Arabidopsis thaliana: one gene and its partners. Each later gene encodes a partner of the first gene's protein in a complex. Each region holds a gene or a part of one and is shown in the gene's direction. Other genes may lie near its edges.

Region 1 (5,889 bases):
ACTCATTGAGGAGTCTTTGAATGTGTGGATTGGAACTATTCTGCATTTGATTAAGTCTTTGGTTTGGTTTCTTGTAGAATCAGGTTATTTGTGTTTTCTATGAATCGAAAATTGAAACAAAGTGGTTTCTTGATAGAAACAGGTTTGTTGTGTTTTATATGGATTGCAAATCGAAATAAGGTTTTCGGTATGTATAGGTTTGATGATCTGTTTGGTTGGATTCAAATTTGTTACCTTCTTAGAGGGAACATTGTATTGATCGAAATTAATGTGTATAGATGTTCGTCATTGAGGAGTCTCTGAAACTTAATGTGTAGATCGAAATTATTCTGCATTTGTGTGTCTGGCTTGAACCTTCTCATTAATGCCAGTTTATCGGCTAATTGGTTTTTGTTTGCTTCTTCAGGACAATATTTATATGACGTAGTTGGAAGTCCGTACTATGTTGCACCAGAGGTGCTAAAGAAATGTTATGGACCTGAAATAGATGTGTGGAGTGCTGGTGTTATCCTCTACATTTTACTCAGCGGTGTTCCTCCCTTCTGGGCAGGTTAGTCTACTAAAAAAGTAGAGTCTTTTCTATTTACAAGTTTCGAGTTTTTGTTTGAATGATGTATTCTTTTCTCTTGGGCATTGCAGAGACTGAGTCTGGAATCTTTAGACAGATATTGCAAGGGAAGTTAGATTTCAAATCTGACCCGTGGCCTACTATCTCAGAAGCTGCTAAAGATTTGATCTATAAAATGCTCGAAAGGAGCCCCAAGAAACGCATTTCTGCTCATGAAGCCTTGTGTATGTTCATTCTTTGTTGTTCATTTGGAATTAGCAACTGTTGTGAATTGTTTTTATGGTAAATAATGAGTATTGAGTTTGCTCTGAATGTTATATAGGTCACCCATGGATTGTCGATGAACAAGCAGCACCAGACAAGCCTCTTGATCCAGCAGTCTTATCTCGTCTAAAGCAGTTTTCTCAAATGAATAAGATTAAGAAAATGGCATTACGGGTATGAATTCGAGTAATATACATTCGCTTTTTCTTTATGTCCAATCCGTATGCTGATTTCTCTGAACACAGGTAATTGCTGAGAGACTTTCAGAGGAAGAAATTGGAGGTCTGAAGGAATTGTTCAAGATGATAGACACAGACAACAGCGGAACGATTACTTTTGAAGAGCTCAAAGCGGGTTTGAAGAGAGTCGGATCTGAACTGATGGAATCAGAAATCAAGTCTCTCATGGATGCGGTATGAAAGAACCAAAACAAACTCTTTCCTCTTTTCAAAAACTTTTGTTTCCGTTTAACATCCTCTGTGTGTTGTGGTCACAGGCTGATATCGACAACAGTGGTACAATAGACTACGGAGAATTCCTAGCAGCAACCTTACACATGAACAAGATGGAGAGAGAGGAGAATCTGGTGGCTGCATTTTCGTACTTTGACAAAGACGGAAGCGGTTATATCACCATCGATGAGCTTCAGTCAGCTTGCACAGAGTTTGGTCTATGTGATACACCTCTGGACGACATGATCAAGGAGATTGATCTTGACAATGTAAACCACTCTTCTTCTTCTTCTCTTTGTTTACCTCCTTCTTCAATGTTACTTTACTATAACCGAGAGCTTTTGAATTATGTAGGACGGGAAGATCGATTTCTCGGAGTTTACAGCAATGATGAGGAAAGGAGATGGAGTTGGGAGAAGCAGAACCATGATGAAGAACTTGAACTTCAACATTGCTGATGCTTTTGGAGTTGATGGTGAAAAATCTGATGACTGACTCATCATTCTTCCACAATTTCTGTTTTTTTTCTCTTTAATTTCGTTTATATTTTGAATTCTAATTTCTAAGGATACAAAAATATATTCTGGCTTGTTTTTTGCTTTCCTTTTTATTTTTGTACATGAGCAACTTTCTAAATTTTTATCCTCATATGGATAATTTTTGCTTCATATAAAAGTTTTTGAATTCCAAAGAAATGTGATTTAGGGATGGCGAAAAGAAACCGAACCGAACCAAAATCGGATTTCATAAGTAATTTTGTTATAATACAAACTGTGAAACTGTAGAAAATTCTTATAACAACCCAAACCAAATCTAAATTCTTATAACAACCCAGACCAAATCTCAAATTGAAACCAAATTTGGTGAATTTGTAATTAACCAATATTCAGAATTAATATAACTAATTAAATATAAAGTACATTTAAATACACTAAACACTATAAAGAGATTAAGAGTAGTTAGAATTATAATTTTTGTCAAAAATCGAACAAAACCAAAATTGATGTGTATATAATATATTACTTAATTGGAAAACCCAAAATCTGAACCGAAATAAACCGGTAAACCGAAATTGCAAGCTTAGAAATTAAACCAATTTGAAGACAGGGGTACAATGGTAATTTTCAAAGGAAGTGGATAGGATAACACTGCGGATTTATTCTCCGTCGAGCTCCAAAGTCTCGAGCTTAGAGCTCTCTCTCAGTCGAAAACAATGGCGTCTTCTTCAGCGACGCTCTCTCTCTGCTCTACTTTCTCTGCTCATTGCAATGTCAATTCTCGCCGTTCTAGCACTATCCTCTGTTCTCTCTCTAAACCTTCGCTTAATTTGGCTAAACCTCTGACTGGATTTCTTTCTCCTTCCACTGCGTCGACGTCTCGAACCGCATTCACCGTCGCTCCGAAATTCGCGGAATCAGTCGTCGAAGCTGAACCGGAGACTACCGATATCGAAGCTGTGGTGGTTTCCGATGTTTCGGAGGTTACTGAGGAAAAAGCTAAACGAGAAGAGATTTTCGCTGTTATTATGGTGAGCTTGTTGAATCATACGAAACAACAAATTCTCAATTTCGGTGTTTAGCTTTTGGAATTCGGAATTAGGTTTGGTTGATTGATGAATTTGATTTTAGAGTTTTGATAATGAGAGACTGTGTTTTTGTGGTATCTACTCTTAAGATTTAGGGTTTAGGTTTAACGAATGTTGACTTCTTAAGGGAGAGATTGTGTTTTTGTGGCATATACTCTTCAAGGTTTAGAGTTTGGCTTTGTTATAATTGATTTTGTTTCTCTCATTTGCAATCTCTGATTTAGCTTAGTGTTGTTCTCTTTGGTTTGAATAGGTTGGTGGACGCCAATACATAGTGTTTCCAGGGAGATATCTCTACACTCAGAGGCTAAAAGATGCAAATGTTGATGACCAGGTATATGCACATTTGCTTTCAATGACTATGTGATGTGTTCTTCTTTGTAAAAAACTCTGTGTACGAAATGGTATATCTGTGAAAAGATGATGTAACTATGGAAGATTGAGTAAACTTTGTGGCTTGTGTAGAAGTTCTATTCTTTTGCCTATGTTAACATTGTGTTAAGCTGTTCTCTGTTGCATTTTTGGTGATTCCTGAAGTTTTCATATTTTGTTTTTTCTCTTGTGCAGATTGTTCTCAACAAAGTGTTGCTTGTTGGAACAAAGACACACACTTACATTGGCAAGCCGGTTGTGACCAATGCCACTGTACATGCTGTTGTGGAAAGTCAAGTAAGTCAATACAAACGATTTCTTAAATTTCTGATTGGTGGTTTTGTATTTTCGACTATGTAGTCGCCTCTAAACTTGGAATAACCGGAATGTCATTTGTTGTTGTAGGGTTTGAATGATAAAGTGGTAGTCTTCAAGTACAAGCCTAAGAAGAAGTACCGTAGAAATATCGGTCACAGACAGGTATTGCTGAAAGTCCTCTTCCTTATATTTGAACTATGTAATGTTACAATCAACAGACTACTATCAGTTACTTGTTGTAATTTGCTATGGCTGATGAAACTGAAATCTCTTTGAAGTAATGACACTTATGTTGTGACTTATGTGTTGATATTGTAGCCGAATACGAGGATTAGGATTACCGGAATCACAGGGTATGAAGAGTATCCAGCCTCGCCCAATGTTGCAGTTGGAGAAGTAAATCTTTGACACAAAATGTTTCTTGAATGTTAAAATTTTTCTGATCTTCTCTATGTAATTTTGTAAGGACCCTGGTCATTTCATTTCTGCTGAGATTCCTTTTATTAATATGTACCTTTTGCCATTCTTTGATCACAAATTCTAAGTTAGTGTATGAAAACTTCAATATAGCTCATCCATCAATCTACGCATACTAATGAATTTTATAGAATAAAACAACTTCTACCACTTCAGTGGACACAATACAGAAATACAGAAATTGATATTGAGATTTTGAAAATGGACGGGACCGTCCATAACATTTTTCCGTCCGCAAAGGCACAAACACATGAAAGACATTATGGTGTTTTTTGATATGTTTTTGACAAAATTTTGATATGTTGTTGCGATTTTCTAGTAAAAGACATTATGTGCACCAATAGTGTGAGATGTATTATGGTGATTTTCTGATGAGGAATTGAGAAATGAGTTTTTTTTATTATATATATGCAAAAGATAGATTGTCTCCGATTATTAGTTTGGTTGTATACATGTTGGGTTGTAACTTTTCACTTCAGTGGCACAACATGTGAAGGCTATATACATGTTGGGTTGTAATTTTTTGCTTTCTTACTCTTGTGGTTGATTAGGTCCGAGTTTGGTTTACTAGTTTTGCAAACCTTTTTTTTTTTAAGTTTGGTGCAACAAAACCCTTTACCAAAAATATATAGGTTAAGATAATTTATAAATAACTAAATAATGACTACTTGACTATTAAAAATATATGCTTTAAAATAGAGTAAAATATATATTCATTTAGTTTATGAGATTCCAGTTTACTTTCTAACTTAAATTTCAGAGATTTCATAATATTTTCGATATTTTTCTTGTCCTTTTAAATATAATATTAGTCTTCAAAATAATGTTATTATATAGACTAGGTTTAAAATCTGAGAAATGATTATTAAATAGTAAAATAAATAAACAGCTTAATTTTATTAACAGAACCTTTTTTATCAGCCAGTTGGCAAATGAAAATATGAAAAAATTTCCATGCTGGCTACTATTTTTAATTAATTTTTACAGAAATTTATTTAAATTTCTTTAAAAGCAACTAAATGCTAAATTTATCTATTACTAACTAGATATTGACCCGCGGTATACCACGGGTTGATTATTTACGTTAGAAATTATATTATTTTTTTAATTCTATATCATCTATATTTAAATAATCAAGTTATATTTTGAATTTATCATCTTACTTTTTATATCTATTTATTTTTGATATTATATTTGTATTTGTTTGGTTTAATCTTGTTTAATTAAGAAAATCTGTTTATTATAAGCACATTATATCGGGAGTGTATTTTTATGGTGCGTTATTACGTGTTTGTTATATAATATTTTTTTTTGTTAAAATGAACGTATTTGGCTTAAAATAGTTTTCTTAACTAATATATACATGTTTTTTTATGGTGCGTTATTACGTGCGTTCTTAACTAATATAGATGATATTAAATTAAAAAAGTAATTTAATTTCAAATGGTTTTTATCATACAAAAAAAATTTTTTTCTAGATTTCAAATATTATTAATATTACAAAAATTTTATAGAATCTAAATATTATAGATACCAACTTATTAAGAGGTTCACTGCGGGTTGATTCTTTTCCATTTATTTTATAATTTATAAATTTATGATTTTGTAAACTATAATGTATATGATATTTAATAAGATGTAGCTCTAATAGTATTATTCGCCATTTACTATATAACTAAATATTTATATGAATAAGATTAATGTTATTAAGTTACTATCATAAAGTTCAAAATTAAGTAAATTTAACTAAATTGTAAGATAACTTAAAGAGCGTGCAAACAAAAAATGTGGTATAGGATTTAACCCTTGGTGTAAAACAAAATGAAATTTGAAAACTAAATAAAATTATAAAC
Region 2 (4,690 bases), on another chromosome or scaffold:
ATGTATGTGTTATATCGTGTATAACTATTTAATTTGTTTAATTCACTTGTTCGATTGTATCTTCTTCTTAAACTTAAATCATCTTTTGGTTATATGTGTGTGTCTAATAACTATGTAATCTTTCTTTCAATTCTAATAAAATAAAACAAGATGTTAAAAAAAAAAAAACTATTTAACTATCCATGGTTGATGACTCGTACTTAAGACAAATAATCAAATTTCGTGATTCTAAAAATGAATGAAATTGATTGATATATAAGTGGGATTAGAAAAAAAAGAGTCAGATAAGTGTTATCTCGCGGTTATAATTTCAACGGTGCTAAGATAAGGATAAGGTTTGCGAAACTATATACTAATGCAACAATGGGTACCGTAGGTTTGTGATACCTAATTTGATCTAACCAACAGAATCTCTTCGTACTAGTGTAATCGAGTGGCTGAGCTGTTGATATAGAGATACGTAGTACTATTATTGTAAATAAAGAACCCAAAGAATCAAATTTGTCGACAACAAAATAAGGGGTGATAATCCGATGCACGTGGATTTGGTGAATGTATTGGATAATGCTAGTCACGTAGAAGAAAGTAATCTTATTTTGGGCCATAATTTTAGTAAATGTTTTTGAGTCTACGTAAAGAAGAGTAATTTTCATGGCAATCGCAATTTTCGCTGACAATTGATTATTTTGATATAATGTGAAATTGGTTAGGTTGGTGATAGTAGCTAGTTTGAAGCCTAACTTAGGCTTGTTATTGAGGTATAATACATTATTAACCATAAGTATTAGACAGGTTTTGGACAAATATATTTATTGGTCGCTTTGGCAGCATTGAAAAACCCTAAAAGCCACTAGAATGGATGTCTTCGAATGTCAGTTCACATAAATGTTCGCTAGCTTAATTTTATTTTCTTTTTTAAAAGAGAGGAAGCAATGATAACATAAACATTTTTATAGTGTTTTTTTTGAAACAAAAAGTTAGTTTTCTTCCTCAAATTCGATAACTAAATTACACCATAAATGAGAATATGTTTTTAGTTAAGTAGTTAAATCCATTTGATTCTACCTTTTTTACCAGAGTTTGACTCTACTAAGTCGTGTTACTTCGCATAATAAGGATTGACTATGAATCGTGTCTTGTTTATAAAAAAAAGAAAAAAAAAATTACACAACAAAGTTAAGAAAATTCAAATTTATTAATTTAATAAGCATACTTTGAATATAAATAAATCCTAAAACTCAAACTAATAAAAAAAGTATTTTTTTGTGTAGTATTAAAAGATGCAGAATCCGAAATAATGTATTTTATTGTAGAAGTGATTCAAAAGACCTTATCTCGTAGTCACTTGTAGCATTATTGGTTTAAGGTTAAAGAAAACATTTAAAACTCTGTATACATCATACATGACATCTTTACAAATTGCAAAATATACATTTTTAATCAGCTACTCTATTCTTAAATTCCTTTAATTAACGAGGTTATACAGTTCGATACGTTTAAGCAACAAAAAGTTCGATGCCACTAATAATTTAATTTTTGTTCTCTTCTTATCTTATAGATTGTTGCAGCCTGCAGGCTTGCAGCATAACGAGTTACATAACTATATACAAAGGCCCAATAGACACCTCAAAGGCCCAATAAAAAAGCCCAGGAAAAACGAAAACGAAGATATGAAGTTCTTCTCTAATCCGAAGCAAGAGGCTCAAACTCACTTTCACTTGCACAAAGATAAGGAAACCATGTCTGTGTCAGCGATCTTTGGTACCGGAATCGTCACCGTTGCTGCTTCTCCGGTTCTCCGCCAATTTCAAGTTCCAAAATTGGGTAATGGAGGAGGATTAGGGATGGTGATAGAGTGTTCGTCGAGGCCACAGAAGAAATCGACGGCTCATCACAGGAAGACGAGGCCGAAGAAGACTCAGCCTTGGGACATTAAGAGAAAGCCTACTGTTTACGCTCCTCTTCCTCCTCTTCCGGCGGAATGGAGTCCGTTCACTCTCGCTTCTGACGACGGTGGTGCTGCCACTGCTGCGGGAGATTTGGTTTCAGGCGCTGCCTAGTTGGTATGAGTTATCTGCTGATTTGGTTGTAATCTAGTTTGAGAACTTTTGTTGTTGTTTACTGTGTTTTCAGTTTTCTGATGTTTGTTGTTGGGTTTGTTTGTGTTTGATTGGTGAATGAATGGACCAAATTTGCGATTTATAAAGCTTCAACCTTTCTCCTCTGTTTTTGAGTTTAAAGGTCTCAACTTTATAGTTTATAGCTCTCGTCATTGTCATCTATGTTGCTTCTCTATAATTGCTTTTTTCCTTTTGGGTCTCATTAATTTCTGCAAGTAGTAATTGAATTGGGATGACAAGAGTTTAAGTTTGATATGTGAAAATGAAAGCACAATGGTATCTGTTTTGTGGCGGTTGATGCTGGAGTTGTTGTCAAATGCTCTGTTTGCTGCCATAGCAATGGGAATGTAGCTTCTAAAGAGTACGGTATAGTATACCGCATTATTGGAATTTTAAAATTTCCCTTTAGATTGGATTCAGGTGAAACGGCAATGTGCTCTGCTCACCATAGTGCAACACTTGGTCTAAACACTCTATTGTAGATTTTTAAGCCAAGTGATCTAAAGTGTGTTTGATGAAGAGTTTCAGCAAAAACATTTTTAGAAATGTTTATATCAGTTATGGGTTGATCACTCTGATTCTTGAATCTATCTTGTATCGGTCTAGTCCCAGGAGAAATTTAGAAGATCGATTTATCTTGCATTGCATGTTTATGGAGTCAATTCCAAGATCAACATCAATGGCTATACATTTCATAAAGCACGCATACAGAGTACATCCCGTTGAACCCATTAAACCCTGACACCTTAAAAGCTTAAGTCAAATCATCTGGAGAAATACACAATGAAGATACAAATACAGAGAGTTCGAAAGAATAAATAGTGTGAAAACAGAGGCAATCTATGAGTTTAACACAAAAGAGTGGAACCAAAACCAGTTTTTTGGGAAGAATGAGCTTCACTTGGGATGTTAGTGCTAGAGTTTTCAATGTAAGTCTGCCACTGGCCCTTTGGAGATTCATTACCTTTTGCTTGATCCTTGAAACAACCATTAGCACTTGGAGTTTTGTTGATTTTTACTTTACCTTTTACATCATCATTCCTTGGGGATGGAACTCTGTTCTCTTCAGGTTCAAACACAAAACTGAAACCGGATTTCAAAACTTCAAGCGTAGCTTCCCCACCAGTACCAGTTCTCACACTAAACTCAAGGGATGCTTTGGTCGGAGCACATTTAGGACCACCTTGGCCTTTAACAAGTTTTATGAAGTCTAAGCAGTTGGTGTAGCCAATAAAGACATGATCTGATTCAACTGTTTCTTCTTGGTTGTCTTGTTCAATCAAACTTCCAACCTTCCAAGTAATGCTGCTGGAAGAGCCCTCTCCGTTATTTTGCTCACAAGAGAACTTGACTATCAAGTTGGCATGACTTTTACAGTTCTTGAATGAGACAACAACACATAGGGCTATCCCAGAAAGCCTATTGTGATTCCAGTGAGGAGGTAATTCAAACTCCACCATAGATCCAATTGCATCGTGACTAAACCATGAAGGCATTTCACATCCAGGAAAGCTAGTGCAGAACAAAATCTCAGGAACACAACTCTGCAAAGTTATACAAAGGGGATATACCATTAACCTCAATTCCACTACGCAAAAGAAAACTCTCAAGGGAGAGGAATAGAGATACCTCATCGCATCGTTTAAGCGCACTAGCAAGCAAATGACACTTCCTTTCAGCATATACTACAATTTCCTCCTTTGCAGCTTGTTCCAATTCATTGCAGTTAGTGAAAATGAACGAGGAATTGACATGCTTCATCGGTATAGAACATACCAGCGGTTTTGCAACTGTCTTCAGTGAGCTACAACCATGAACGTTTAAATACTGAAGATTTGGTGGAAGCTGTGGAACATGTGTAAGATTCTTACAATACTTCAAATGAAGCCATTGAAGTTGAGAAAATTTATTGAGGAGATCTGGAAGGCGGCTGATCTTTTCATTCTTGTTTAAGCATAAACGACGCACGGAGAGTATCTTCGGCATATCTTTTATAGCTGTCTCATCCAGAAGCAAGATCTCTAAGCGGCTCATGTTTCCCCAAGTTTCTGGAAACTCATTGAGCTTTGAACAACCAGAGAGGATAAGTTCTTCAAGAGCTTTCAGCTGACCAAGACTGTCAGGGAGCCTTTTCAGCTTCTTGCAGCCTTTCATGTTCAACATAACAAGTCTTTGGAGTCTCCCAATGTCACAAGGAAGTTCCTTTATTGCAGTTCCATCCAAGTATAGTGCTTCCAGCTTATCTGAAATAACCTGAAAGGTTTTAAATTTTGAGCAGCCACTGAGGATGAGAGTTTTCAAAGAGATCAACTGAATCTCTGGAAGAGACTTGAGACTTGTGCATCCTCTCAGGTTCAAGAAAACAAGAAACTTCATATTTTCCATATCCACATGCATCTCTTTCAATGCCGTGCAACCTTCAAGATTTAGCTCTTGAAGATTTTGAGCTTTTCCTAACCCTGCCAAAGTGTTCAACTTCTTTGAGTGATTTAAGTTTACCCATTTTAATTTTGGTGCATCCTGGGGCAATGAACAACAATCATTACAAAGAGTCAGACAACACCCTAAGT
Region 3 (5,032 bases), on another chromosome or scaffold:
ATATCTTGGAATTTTGTTGCATGTTTTTCATGCTGACAGCTTTTATATCCTTTTCCGTTTAATTGTCTGTCAGTAGAATATCAATTTTGTTAGAGTTAACAACAAAGGAATAAAACATGTGGCTGGATCAACTTTTTTGTAAGTTTGGCTGGTAGTAGGTGTTATGATCAAAAGCTTGTTCATAGTGGTTCAACCTGGAAAGCCAAATGTCAGACCACCTTATTATAATCTTAAAGTGAAAAACACGCAGAGAATAGAAGTGCAGTTCTCTCCGCAGCTACGGCATCTTTGTGGTTGATAATGTTGAAAGCTTCACTGTATTTGCTTGCTATACTAATTTCTTTTTCTGTCAAGCTTGATATTGAGCCTAGTGTACTTGTTGCAGATCTTCATTGGCGGATTTTCAAAAGCTATTTCATCTGAAATGGTATGCTGAACTGTAATTCTTTGAAAACATTTGACACGTTCAATCTTCTATTGTCCCCATTTCTATCGTTTCAACTTCTAGGATTGTCTGATTCCTCTTTAACGTTTTTCCAGCTTATGGAGATTGTCAGCGTCTTTGGACCTTTGAAAGCATACCGGTTCGTGAGCAACAATGATCTCAATCAGCGATGCGCTTTCCTAGAGGTTAGAATGTACTTTTATTTGTGGCCAAGATACCCCCATCTTAGTCTGCCATCTCGATGTAGTTCTTGTGATTGTTTCATATCTTTAATTTTTCATTTTCCGGGTAGCATGGGAAGGTGTTATTACCTTGTAACTTTTACAGAGTAACCATGAATGTGACTGTAGTTCCAAGTATATTCATATTAACCAGCCCTAACTCTTTTTAAATCTCTATATTTCAGTACACTGATGGATCTGTTACCCTCAAAGCTTGTGCTGGTCTAAATGGTATGAGGTTAGGTGGCAGTGTAATAACAGCCGTTTGTGCATTTCCTGATGCATCATCCGTAGCGGTAATTCAGTGACCCAACTTTGCTTTCGTTAGTTCATGTTGTGTTTGTATGGGTGACATTGAACAGAAATTCCTTTAGTTACTTGTGAGAGTGGTGTGTGTACGTAATATGTGTTGCAGGTGAATGAGAATCCACCATTCTATGGGATACCTAGCCATGCAAAACCACTTCTTGGCAAGCCTAAGAATATTCTAAAGCTAAAAAATGTGGTAAGCATAATTGGTGTATCCTTTTTCTTGTGAATCTTTCCCAAATAAACTATGTGAGGCTATATTAACATTCCATTCTTTCTTGTTTGACAGGTTGACCCAGAAGATCTCACGTCGTTTTCCGAGCAAGAAGTGAAAGAAATTTTGGAGGATGTACGGTTAGAATGTGCCAGGTTAAGCTCTGAGATCATCTTCCCATGAGTCCATTGAGCTTTTAAAAGCTAGTAAATTAAGAAAATAGGCCTCTGGGTCTTGTCATGATGCAGGTTTGGGGTTATTAAGTCGATAAACATCTTGGAACACAAGAGCAAAGATATCACTGTTTCTGAAACAAATCCATTGTTGAACTTAGAATCAACTGATTCTAAAGAAATGAATGTGTCAGTGATCGAGGAGAAAGATGAAGGATCCGAGAAAGCGGAAGATATTGCAGACAATGTAGATCTTGCAGAGGTTGTCATGCCAGACAGTTTGACAGGTGAAGACAAGTTATGTGAACCGTGCTCGGATACTGCTGCTGAAACAAGCACTCAAGAAAATGAAGATCTACACTCCACTGAACAAGAGCATTGTGAAAAGATTGTTGAAGAAAGTGCGCAGGCCGAGGCAGAGAATCCACAAGAAGTAGCATCAGTGCGTACCGTGAAGACAAGATGGGATGCTGGCGACAAGATAGAAGAAGAACAAGAAGAAGACCCCGAGGATGTATTTGAGACGGGTTGTATCTTCATTGAGTACAGAAGACCAGAAGCGACATGTGATGCAGCCCATTCTTTACACGGAAGGCTATATGATAACCGGATTGTGAAAGCAGAATATGTTTCTAAAGAGCTTTACCAAATCCGGTTCCCAAGTGGGTAAATAATCCCACAACAAGTGAGACTCTGTGATTCTTCTCATCTTTACCACATAACCGGTTCAAACCGAGTTCAGAGATACATAGCATCTACAATCAAAAACCCTTCAAAAATCTCTTTGTAATCGTTGGGATTGATCAGGTTGGATTATTCATCACCACCTGTGTCTCGTTACTTTTATGTATTAGAGAATCCAAGAAGGGAAAGATGAAACCATACTATTGTGTTGGTGGCTATATGGACCGGTTTGCTTACTGAAAAATTGTTGTGTTAAAAGAGAACGTAACCTTCTGAATGAGAAAGCGTCTTTCATTTTCTACAAAATAATAAATAAAATGAACCCAATCTCCTTCTTTATCCAAATCCTCCTTCGAAGCAGAAGTAACAGCAACCAAAAATGACGACAATGGCGACACAAGGCGCTTGGCTACGAATGACCTCATCAGCCAAGTCCATGACCAAGTCAACCGTGACTTCAAAGGAGCTTGGATTCCTCACCTCCCAGCTCAGCGGCTTAAGAATCTCATATACTCCCAGTGACGTCATCAACCGTATCTCCCTTCCTTCGTTCCCCGGGATTCAGCCAATCGTCGCACGTAATTCCCCTTTTCCCTTTCTCTTAGGGTTTAGTCGAATGCATTGGCGTACTAAATTTATCTTGCTTTCGTTTTATTCATGTCGAATTTCGAATCTCTGAGTTAGCAAGCTTGTGTTGAATTGTCTGGAACTATGTCTTTGCTTTTAGATATGAAAATGAGCAGTGTATTTAAAACCCGTAGCATAATTTCTCGTATTAAACTTTTCCTTTGAATTTGATGTTATGTTAAAAAAATTCTCCAAAATTGACCACATTTATATGATTCTGAGCATTGGGCAATTTGCTCCTTTTTTCTTGAAACTGTGTTTTTGTTTTCCAAAATGTCAGGTAGAATCTGCCCTTTTACTGGGAAGAAAGCAAACAGAGCAAACAAAGTTTCATTCTCTAACCACAAGACCAAGAAGTTGCAATTCGTCAACTTACAATACAAGAGAGTTTGGTGGGAAGCTGGCAAACGTTTTGTCAAACTTCGTTTATCAACTAAGGCTTTGAAGACCATTGAGAAGAACGGACTCGACGCTGTTGCCAAGAAAGCCGGCATTGATCTTCGCAAGAAATAGATATGATGATCGCAAAGTTTATTATATACATTTCTTGCTTCTCCTTTTGCAGTACTCGTACATTTCCTTTCTAGATTTTGGTAAGTATCAATGGAATCTCTGAGTTGTTGTATCAGACACTGTCAAGAAAAGACTTTAAAGAGAAACGAAAACAAACTCTCACTTGCAGGTGGCTCAAATAATACATTTCATGGTTTTGTTTATGTTTCTCAGATAATATCGTTACAGGTTGTATCAACTGAATTCTCGGGTTTTCCTTTTGAAGACTTCTTAATCGAACCTTCTCCTCCTGCTGATGATCCTTTTAGTTTCCTAGGACGCGATGTAGCCTTCCGTGGAGGAGCTGAACCATCAGGTATTTGATTAGGAACTTCTGTGTCTGGAGCCGGGATACCACCACGCCTTCTGCGAACTGATGGTTCTTGATCATTCGATGAGTCTGTTGACCCGTGTGCGCTTCGGTTATGTCTTGAATGCTTTGATGGTTCATCTGATGATGCAGCATTTCCGCTACTTTTTCTAGGCGGAGACCCGTTATGATTTGGAGAAGCTGCTCCTCCGGGTTTCCGCCTTGTTTTCTGTTTCGGTTTCTCGTTTGTGTTCGAAGGCAGTAACTCTTTTAGCCCGGCTCCACGTTGGTTCGTCCCTATTGAGATACACATCAATTCCTCGAACCAATCCAGATTTGTTCCTCAAAGCTTAACACTTTAAGGGAAAAGGAAAAACACACTTTGCAAAAATAACTAACCTTGCGGGTTGTATTTGTTGGAATTTCCCCTGGAAACGACTTGACCTTTCTCATGTTCTTGAGTTTTAAAGTCATTCATCTGCAGTTTTTGTCCCATAAAAAAACAATAATGAGCACAGATACGTGTGACATGTATGAAAATACGTATAAATGTACGTATGATCTTACCCAGCTTGGTGTGGTGTTGGTTGGACCGTCGGAGCCAATGTGGGCAACATGCTTTACATCGGTCGGAAATCCTATCTGCATCTCCTGCTCTTTCTCTTCATCTGCAATAGAATAATTACATCCACCATGTAATTTGACTTTTGACACAAGAAACACAAATGATTTTTCATTTTTTTCATGTTTATGGGGAAAATGAATGAGACTCACCAAAAATCTGAGTAATGTAACGAAGGCCCTTAAGAAGACCCTTCATTGTCGTCGCCATTGGTCTATAAAGGGTTGGTTCCGGCTAATGTGTATCCACACGCCGGATACAACCTTTGTGGTTCAAGATTTGACGATCGTTACCGTAAACCTAACATGCAGAAAAAGAAAACGAAGAACAAATCAAGAAAAAAGTTGTAAGGCACAAACAAAAAAACAACAGAGAATATAACGAAATCTGAAGACTTAAACCTTGAACGCATGGATTTTCTCTTGACGAGAAAAAAAAATGTTGAAATGTTTTGAAGAGAGAGAGAGAGGGAGGGAGGGAGAGAGAGAAGGATCGAGAGATCTCCGAGGAGTTATTGGTTAAAGATCAACAGACCAAAAAGAAGAAGAGGAAGAGCACTAAGTTTTGTTGTTGTTTTAACAGAGGATAAAAAAATTTAGAAAAGAAAGAAATATTTTCATAGTTGTAATTAACAGATAATTTTATAATTAGATTGTTGATTGGTAATGGAGGCAACGTAGAGCTATTATCAAAGGGAACCCTCCTTTGGGAAACAAGTTGTCAAGAGGATTTTCCGGGTCGAATGGAAGGAGACACGACCACACCAATTTCTTATTTTACTAATAAACATACTCTAATGAAATCTAAGATAGTATAAAGTATTATTTAGAGAAATTGCATAGATTGCAAATACTGAAAAATGTGATATCTGAATA
Region 4 (5,823 bases), about 12 Mb from region 1:
TTTGACACTACTCTCGATTGTGTAGTGGCGAAAAGCAACCACTCCTTGCAAGAGATCCATCGTGTCTGAATCCACGTGCTCCATGGAATCCATAGCTGTAGGAAGCCAGTCTGTTGCGATCCAAACATAACCACTTGCCATCATTCCAAGAGATTTAGCCACAGAAAAAACGTTTAAACCAGAGTCAGGATTCACATGGACAACAAAAACCCGAGATTCCATCAGATTAACAGAAACCAACAAGTCTCTGATGGAGCTAGAATCTGCACCAGGAGTAATTGCAGCCTTGTAAGAGATCCTCGAGCGTTTCTTGGCTAATACATCGCCAAGGACAGATATCCCGTTCCTGCCACACTCATCATCAACGAATATCGCAATGACTTGTCTCCATCCGGAATATGATAGAAAATCTGCGATCGCATGCATTTGGAAGTAATCATTCTGCGTGGTGCGGAGGAAATAAGGAAATTGCAGAGAGGAGAGAGTCGGATCCGTTGCTCCAAATGACAAGAGAGGTACATGAAGCTCATTAGCTACATAGGAGATCATGTGAGCAATCCCTGAAGATTGTGGACCAATGGCTGCAACCACTTTGTTTTCCATCAGCTGCAAAGCTACACCATAAGATGAAACATAATCATCACTCATTCTTTGGGGGCATTTTCACAAACTAGTTCTGAGTTAAAAAGTTGGCCACAGTAGTAAGAGAGAAGAAGAAGGAGAAGCAGTATATATACCTCCCATGGTGCCGATAAATCCACTGCAATTTGAGTCTTGAAAGATGATATTAAGCTTGATGCCCTTAAGAACACTTTGGTCAGCATTAACATCATCCATAGCTGCTTTAACCGCGGGTTTAGCCGCTCTTCCGATAAAAGAATCATAAGTAAACAGAGCTCCAACATTCACAGAGCTTGGCCTCTGTCTTAATGGCCGCAAAGAAGAAGAAGAAGAAGAAGACGAGTTTCTAGAGAAATTACTTCTACAAGCACATTCCTTTGGAACAACCCACAAGACAGAAACACATAACAACACAACTCTGATTGCTTTCGCCATGGAAACTTCTCTTATCATCACCAAAAATCCCATCTTTATCACAATTTCCAGCAAAAGCACTAGTTTTTCTTTGTCCTGGTCTCATATAACCATTTGATTTATTTGGAGTAACACCTGCGAAATAAACAATGCCCAACCTGAATCAAAATTGAGATTATAACAAAAGACAAAAAAGATGGTCCAGAAATCTGGTGAAAGAAGGCAAAACCAACCAAGAAATCGGGAGTTAGATTCTGTAGAGAGATTGGTGTATACAGATTTTTGTGTCTGTATATTTATTTATAGTGTATAAAATAATGTATTTATATGAGGCCCTTTGATTCTAGAAACTGGTGCTTTACATGTGCAAGTAAGAACTGAAAATAATGAAGTGTAAGAGGGCCGTCTTAAAGATGGTTCGCAGAGAAAGAAGCAAAAAGTGTAATAAATAATTCAATGAACAAATAACTAAAGATTATATATGTAAGAACATAAAGAAAAACAAAAATTAAAAGATCCAATTGAGAAAAAGAAGAAGCAACCTTGGAATAAATACGAGAAACAAACTTTAATCAGAGATCCATAATCTTCACAAGTAAACGAGTGATTTAGCACTAAGCATAAAGAAGAAAGACAGAGAAAAGAAGTCGAAGAAGCAGAAGAAGAACTGTTTCTGAGCTCAAGCAAAGAATAATTCATAATATTCTCTCTCCTTTTTTTTCCCTATTTTCTTCCTTATCATTACTTATTTTTTTGGTATTTTATGAAATTTTGTAAATTTTGTTTTGGAGTGCTATTTCTGGAGTGGTCAGTGAAGACGTAGGCCAAGGTGTGGGGTAGTATGATCGATGCTTTACTTGTGTCCTCATACTATTCGATAAATCAAATTTTTACGTTGGCTCTTATTGGTAACTATCATTTATTAAGGTAGTTGATGCATTTTTCTTTTTGGTTACAACGGATATAGTTAAATGGTAATTAGGGTAACTACGTATGACATGAGGCAAAATAATAATTGAAAATGTGAATGTGAGGAGTGACGACCTAATTGCTCCAAGGCCGCCTTCGTCAAAGAATAAGTCTCCTCAACGGTTGTCAAATCAATTTCACACAAAAAAAAAAGAAAAGAAAAAGATATTTTCAGACATAAATAGTAAAGTAATTGTACTATTGATTTCATATGATAAAAGGTGCATGAAACACATGGTCGACTATTTTTTGTCTTTAGAGTGTTCATTAAGGAATGTTATTAAAAAAAACTTATAAGAGCTGCATTTGTTATTACATAGTTCCTTATTGAAATTTTCATTTGTTAATTGTTAACACAAAATAAAATATGCCACTGAATCCACAAATATCTTGTCGGTATCGAACTTTTTATTTATTTAGAACAAGAATATCTTGACCAAATGAAATGTGAACCAGGAAAATAAATATACAGTTCATCTTTTTTTTCTTTGAATCTTCTCAATTTGTTGTTTGGATTTTTCTGAGGGTAAGGGCCCATTTCATTTTTAAATTTGTCTGTTAAGAGTAGTTTAAAATCCATGCCTTTAAAAGATTCGACTTGAAAACATACTTAATCGGGAAAGATGCACAATTTTGATCCAAACGCATCTACTAATAATCTATTGACTTCATTAATCTAATCCAAACTCCACGTTCATTGGGTAAATTTTGTGAACAGTTATTATAATAATGGGCCTAGAAACAGTGAGATAATAGGCCATGATCAATATAGATAAATGGGTTACACAAATAATGAATTGTCCCACAGAAGGATGGTTAAAAGTAATGGGCCGAAAATAGTGAGCTAATGGGCCGTGAAAGTAATGATTTGAAAGAGGGGATTACAGAAGCTGACGATGGATAAGTCTTTTCTGGATAAAACGCTCTTCTTCTTCTCTTCATCCTCCTTCTGGAGCAGAGCTTAGAGCTCCATCATCAAATCTTATCAATGGCTTCCTCACTCGTCTCATCTTTTCAACCCAGGTACTTTTCATATACTACAAACCATAGAGCTTCTTCATTCCGCTAGGGTTTCGTTTTCTTTACTTGGCATTTTCTACTCAAAAATCTCTATAAACTGTGTTCATGAGCCTCCCAAGTATAAGGAATCTCTTTGAATGGGTTATTTTTATCTTTTTAAATCGATGGCAATGTTGAATTGGTTATGGACTCTTGAAATTGTGGATTTTTATTTTGGGAATTTGAATGTGTTATGCGGAACTCACTGTGTAAAAAGCAGGATTCTAGAGGGGTTTTTAGCCATGGAAACTGAAAGTTCTACAAGAATGTTTCTCTTCCTTAATCTAACGTTATCTTTGTTCCAATAACAGTTTCTGTGTATTGGTTTAGATATATATCTGGTAGAGTTTTACTTTCTTGACATGTTTTATCTGAAGATAGATAGATAACTTCCCCTTTGTTTTAGGTCAGCATTTTTGGGAGATAGAAATGTGTTCAAGGTCTCAAGCACACCTTTTGCTCAAGTGGGTTACTCCAGTAAGACCATTGAGTGCAAAGAATCAAGGATAGGAAAGCAACCGATCGCTGTACCTTCCAATGTAACCATTGCATTGGAAGGTCAAGACTTGAAAGTGAAGGGTCCATTAGGAGAGCTGGCTTTAACTTACCCACGCGAAGTTGAGCTTACAAAGGAAGAATCCGGTTTCTTAAGGGTCAAAAAAACCGTCGAAACTAGAAGAGCCAACCAAATGCACGGCCTTTTCAGGTTACAAACTTCTCATCTTTTCTTGTCATCCAATGAAGTCCTTAACTTTTTTGAGGTTAAAAGATCGTTTGTTCTCTAATCTTTTTTTTTAACTTCTGTGTGACTTTTAGGACGCTTACCGATAACATGGTTGTGGGAGTATCAAAGGGATTTGAGAAAAAGCTTATACTTGTGGGTGTTGGTTATCGTGCAACAGTAGACGGAAAGGAGCTGGTGCTAAATCTCGGGTTTTCACACCCGGTGAAGATGCAGATACCGGATAGTCTGAAAGTGAAAGTGGAAGAGAACACAAGAATCACTGTGAGTGGATACGACAAGAGCGAAATCGGGCAGTTTGCTGCAACGGTTAGGAAGTGGAGGCCACCAGAGCCATACAAGGGGAAAGGAGTCAAGTATTCCGATGAGATAGTTCGGAGGAAGGAAGGAAAAGCTGGAAAGAAGAAATGATCTTCATTTTTCATTATTATCTACTTACTTATCTCTTCCTTTCAATGTTTATGTGTATTTGCTCAAATTTGTTTAGAAATGAAGATGTTTGTGTTGGGATTCTTGAGTAAGTTTTTAAAGGAACCCATTAATTGTTTTTGATGCTCTGACAAAAATTTCTTTAGTGCTTTGATTGAACAAGAACTTGGGCACAAAGTGCCTCATCGGTGTGATTCTATTGTTATGTTTCCTTATTGAACCAAACCAATCCAAATCGGACAAAAATCATGGTAGATAAACTTTTTAAAACAATTTTTTAATCTATTCTTCTTTTTTTTAATTACAAATTTTCTTATTTTCTTATATCTAAAAAATCGTAACAGTAAGATATTAATATCTGTATTCTTAATTTGGTAGATAACTTTTTAAAAAACGAAAATTTCCTATAAGAATAATAATAGTCGGAAATAAAACAAAAAACAATATCATGGTGATTATTCTTATTTGCTTATATCTTCTTCTTTTTCACAATTTTTTTTTAAAAAAAATATTTACAAAATTTTCTTATTTGCTTATATATATAAAAAATCAGTAAGATATTAATATCGATTTTTTAATTTGGTAGATAACTTTTTTCAAACGATAAATTTCCTAAAAACAATAAAATATTCGGAAATAAACAAAAACCCTGATTGAAGAAAAGTCTTTTTGTTTATCAGTTCACCGGAGGCAAAAATCGTCTCTCGCTTGAGCTGCGAAGATGCAAGCAGTAAAAAGATCCAGGAGACATGTTGAAGAAGAGCCAACAATGGTAGAACCTAAAACCAAGTACGATCGTCAGCTCAGGTATACATACTCTTTTTCCTTAAACTCTACTTCGAACTACTCTTGTCGGGAGGAAAATTGATGAAGTAGTAATCGTTGGGTTGACTGATTAGGATTTGGGGGGAGGTAGGTCAAGCGGCCTTGGAAGAAGCGAGTATCTGTTTACTCAATTGTGGCCCTACTGGTTCCGAGGCTTTGAAGAATCTCGTACTTGGTGGTGTTGGTAGCATCACCGTTGTTGATGGATCTAAGGTTCAATTTGGTGACCTTGGGAACAATTTCATGGGTACTGACTAATTTTGAAACTTTTTGATTGTGTTTCTTCTGGGGGTTTTGGGGGACTTGCTTGCGTTATGATGATTTTTTTTTTTCATGTGAAGTCGATGCGAAGAGTGTTGGCCAATCAAAAGCCAAATCTGTTTGTGCGTTTCTCCAAGAGCTTAATGATTCTGTTAACGCCAAGTTTATTGAGGAGAATCCAGACACGTTGATTACTACTAACCCATCTTTCTTCTCTCAGTTCACTCTCGTTATAGCCACTCAGGTACCATTGTTTTTCTATTTGTAATCTTCTCTAATGATTTGTGTGTTACAATTTTTCAAAGTTCTAATCTTTGCTTACACAGTCACTCACCATGGATCATGATACCTTCTATTCAATGTTCTTTAGTTAGTTTCTCATATGTACTTTTCCTCGTCCTCTTCACGGGATATTGCTTTATTAGGCTTCTTTTTCCTGTGTTATTGTTATTTAAGTTCGTTATTTCATCCCCTTTTCGACATTGATTGGTTGCAGCTGGTGG

What was found.
Region 2: RPL21C (region 1) and PSRP6 share a complex: the UniProt entries of both Arabidopsis thaliana proteins name them as parts of the 50S ribosomal subunit.
Region 3: RPL21C (region 1) and PRPL28 share a complex: the UniProt entries of both Arabidopsis thaliana proteins name them as parts of the 50S ribosomal subunit.
Region 4: RPL21C (region 1) and emb2394 share a complex: the UniProt entries of both Arabidopsis thaliana proteins name them as parts of the 50S ribosomal subunit.

The regions. Positions count from the first base shown.
Region 1 is NC_003070.9:13,206,280-13,212,168, forward strand, and holds RPL21C (Ribosomal protein L21), read left to right. Parts: upstream 1-2,403; 5' UTR 2,404-2,497; coding exon 2,498-2,812; intron 2,813-3,122; coding exon 3,123-3,203; intron 3,204-3,436; coding exon 3,437-3,538; intron 3,539-3,646; coding exon 3,647-3,721; intron 3,722-3,877; coding exon 3,878-3,967; 3' UTR 3,968-4,149; downstream 4,150-5,889. Other genes in the region: CDPK2 (calcium-dependent protein kinase 2), read left to right, coding at 407-550, 640-792, 891-1,006, 1,078-1,245, 1,329-1,553, 1,639-1,779. UniProt on the Arabidopsis thaliana protein: This protein binds to 23S ribosomal RNA in the presence of protein L20.
Region 2 is NC_003076.8:5,906,078-5,910,767, forward strand, and holds PSRP6 (plastid-specific 50S ribosomal protein 6), read left to right. Parts: upstream 1-1,511; 5' UTR 1,512-1,670; coding exon 1,671-2,060; 3' UTR 2,061-2,387; downstream 2,388-4,690. Other genes in the region: CSA1 (disease resistance protein (TIR-NBS-LRR class)), read right to left, coding at 2,797-2,858, 2,995-3,664, 3,750-4,640.
Region 3 is NC_003071.7:14,171,195-14,176,226, forward strand, and holds PRPL28 (Ribosomal L28 family), read left to right. Parts: upstream 1-2,384; 5' UTR 2,385-2,425; coding exon 2,426-2,624; intron 2,625-2,949; exon of another isoform or gene 2,950-2,953; coding exon 2,954-3,186; 3' UTR 3,187-3,395; downstream 3,396-5,032. Other genes in the region: AT2G33435 (RNA-binding (RRM/RBD/RNP motifs) family protein), read left to right, coding at 386-427, 541-630, 852-962, 1,082-1,171, 1,265-1,344, 1,438-2,032; RIC1 (ROP-interactive CRIB motif-containing protein 1), read right to left, coding at 3,396-3,832, 3,935-4,013, 4,103-4,203, 4,310-4,367.
Region 4 is NC_003070.9:1,500,908-1,506,730, reverse strand, and holds emb2394 (Ribosomal protein L6 family), read left to right. Parts: upstream 1-2,877; 5' UTR 2,878-2,992; coding exon 2,993-3,027; intron 3,028-3,469; coding exon 3,470-3,769; intron 3,770-3,879; coding exon 3,880-4,216; 3' UTR 4,217-4,480; downstream 4,481-5,823. Other genes in the region: GLR3.4 (glutamate receptor 3.4), read right to left, coding at 1-614, 738-1,089; AXR1 (NAD(P)-binding Rossmann-fold superfamily protein), read left to right, coding at 4,956-5,041, 5,134-5,306, 5,401-5,564, 5,817-5,823. UniProt on the Arabidopsis thaliana protein: This protein binds directly to 23S ribosomal RNA and is located at the aminoacyl-tRNA binding site of the peptidyltransferase center.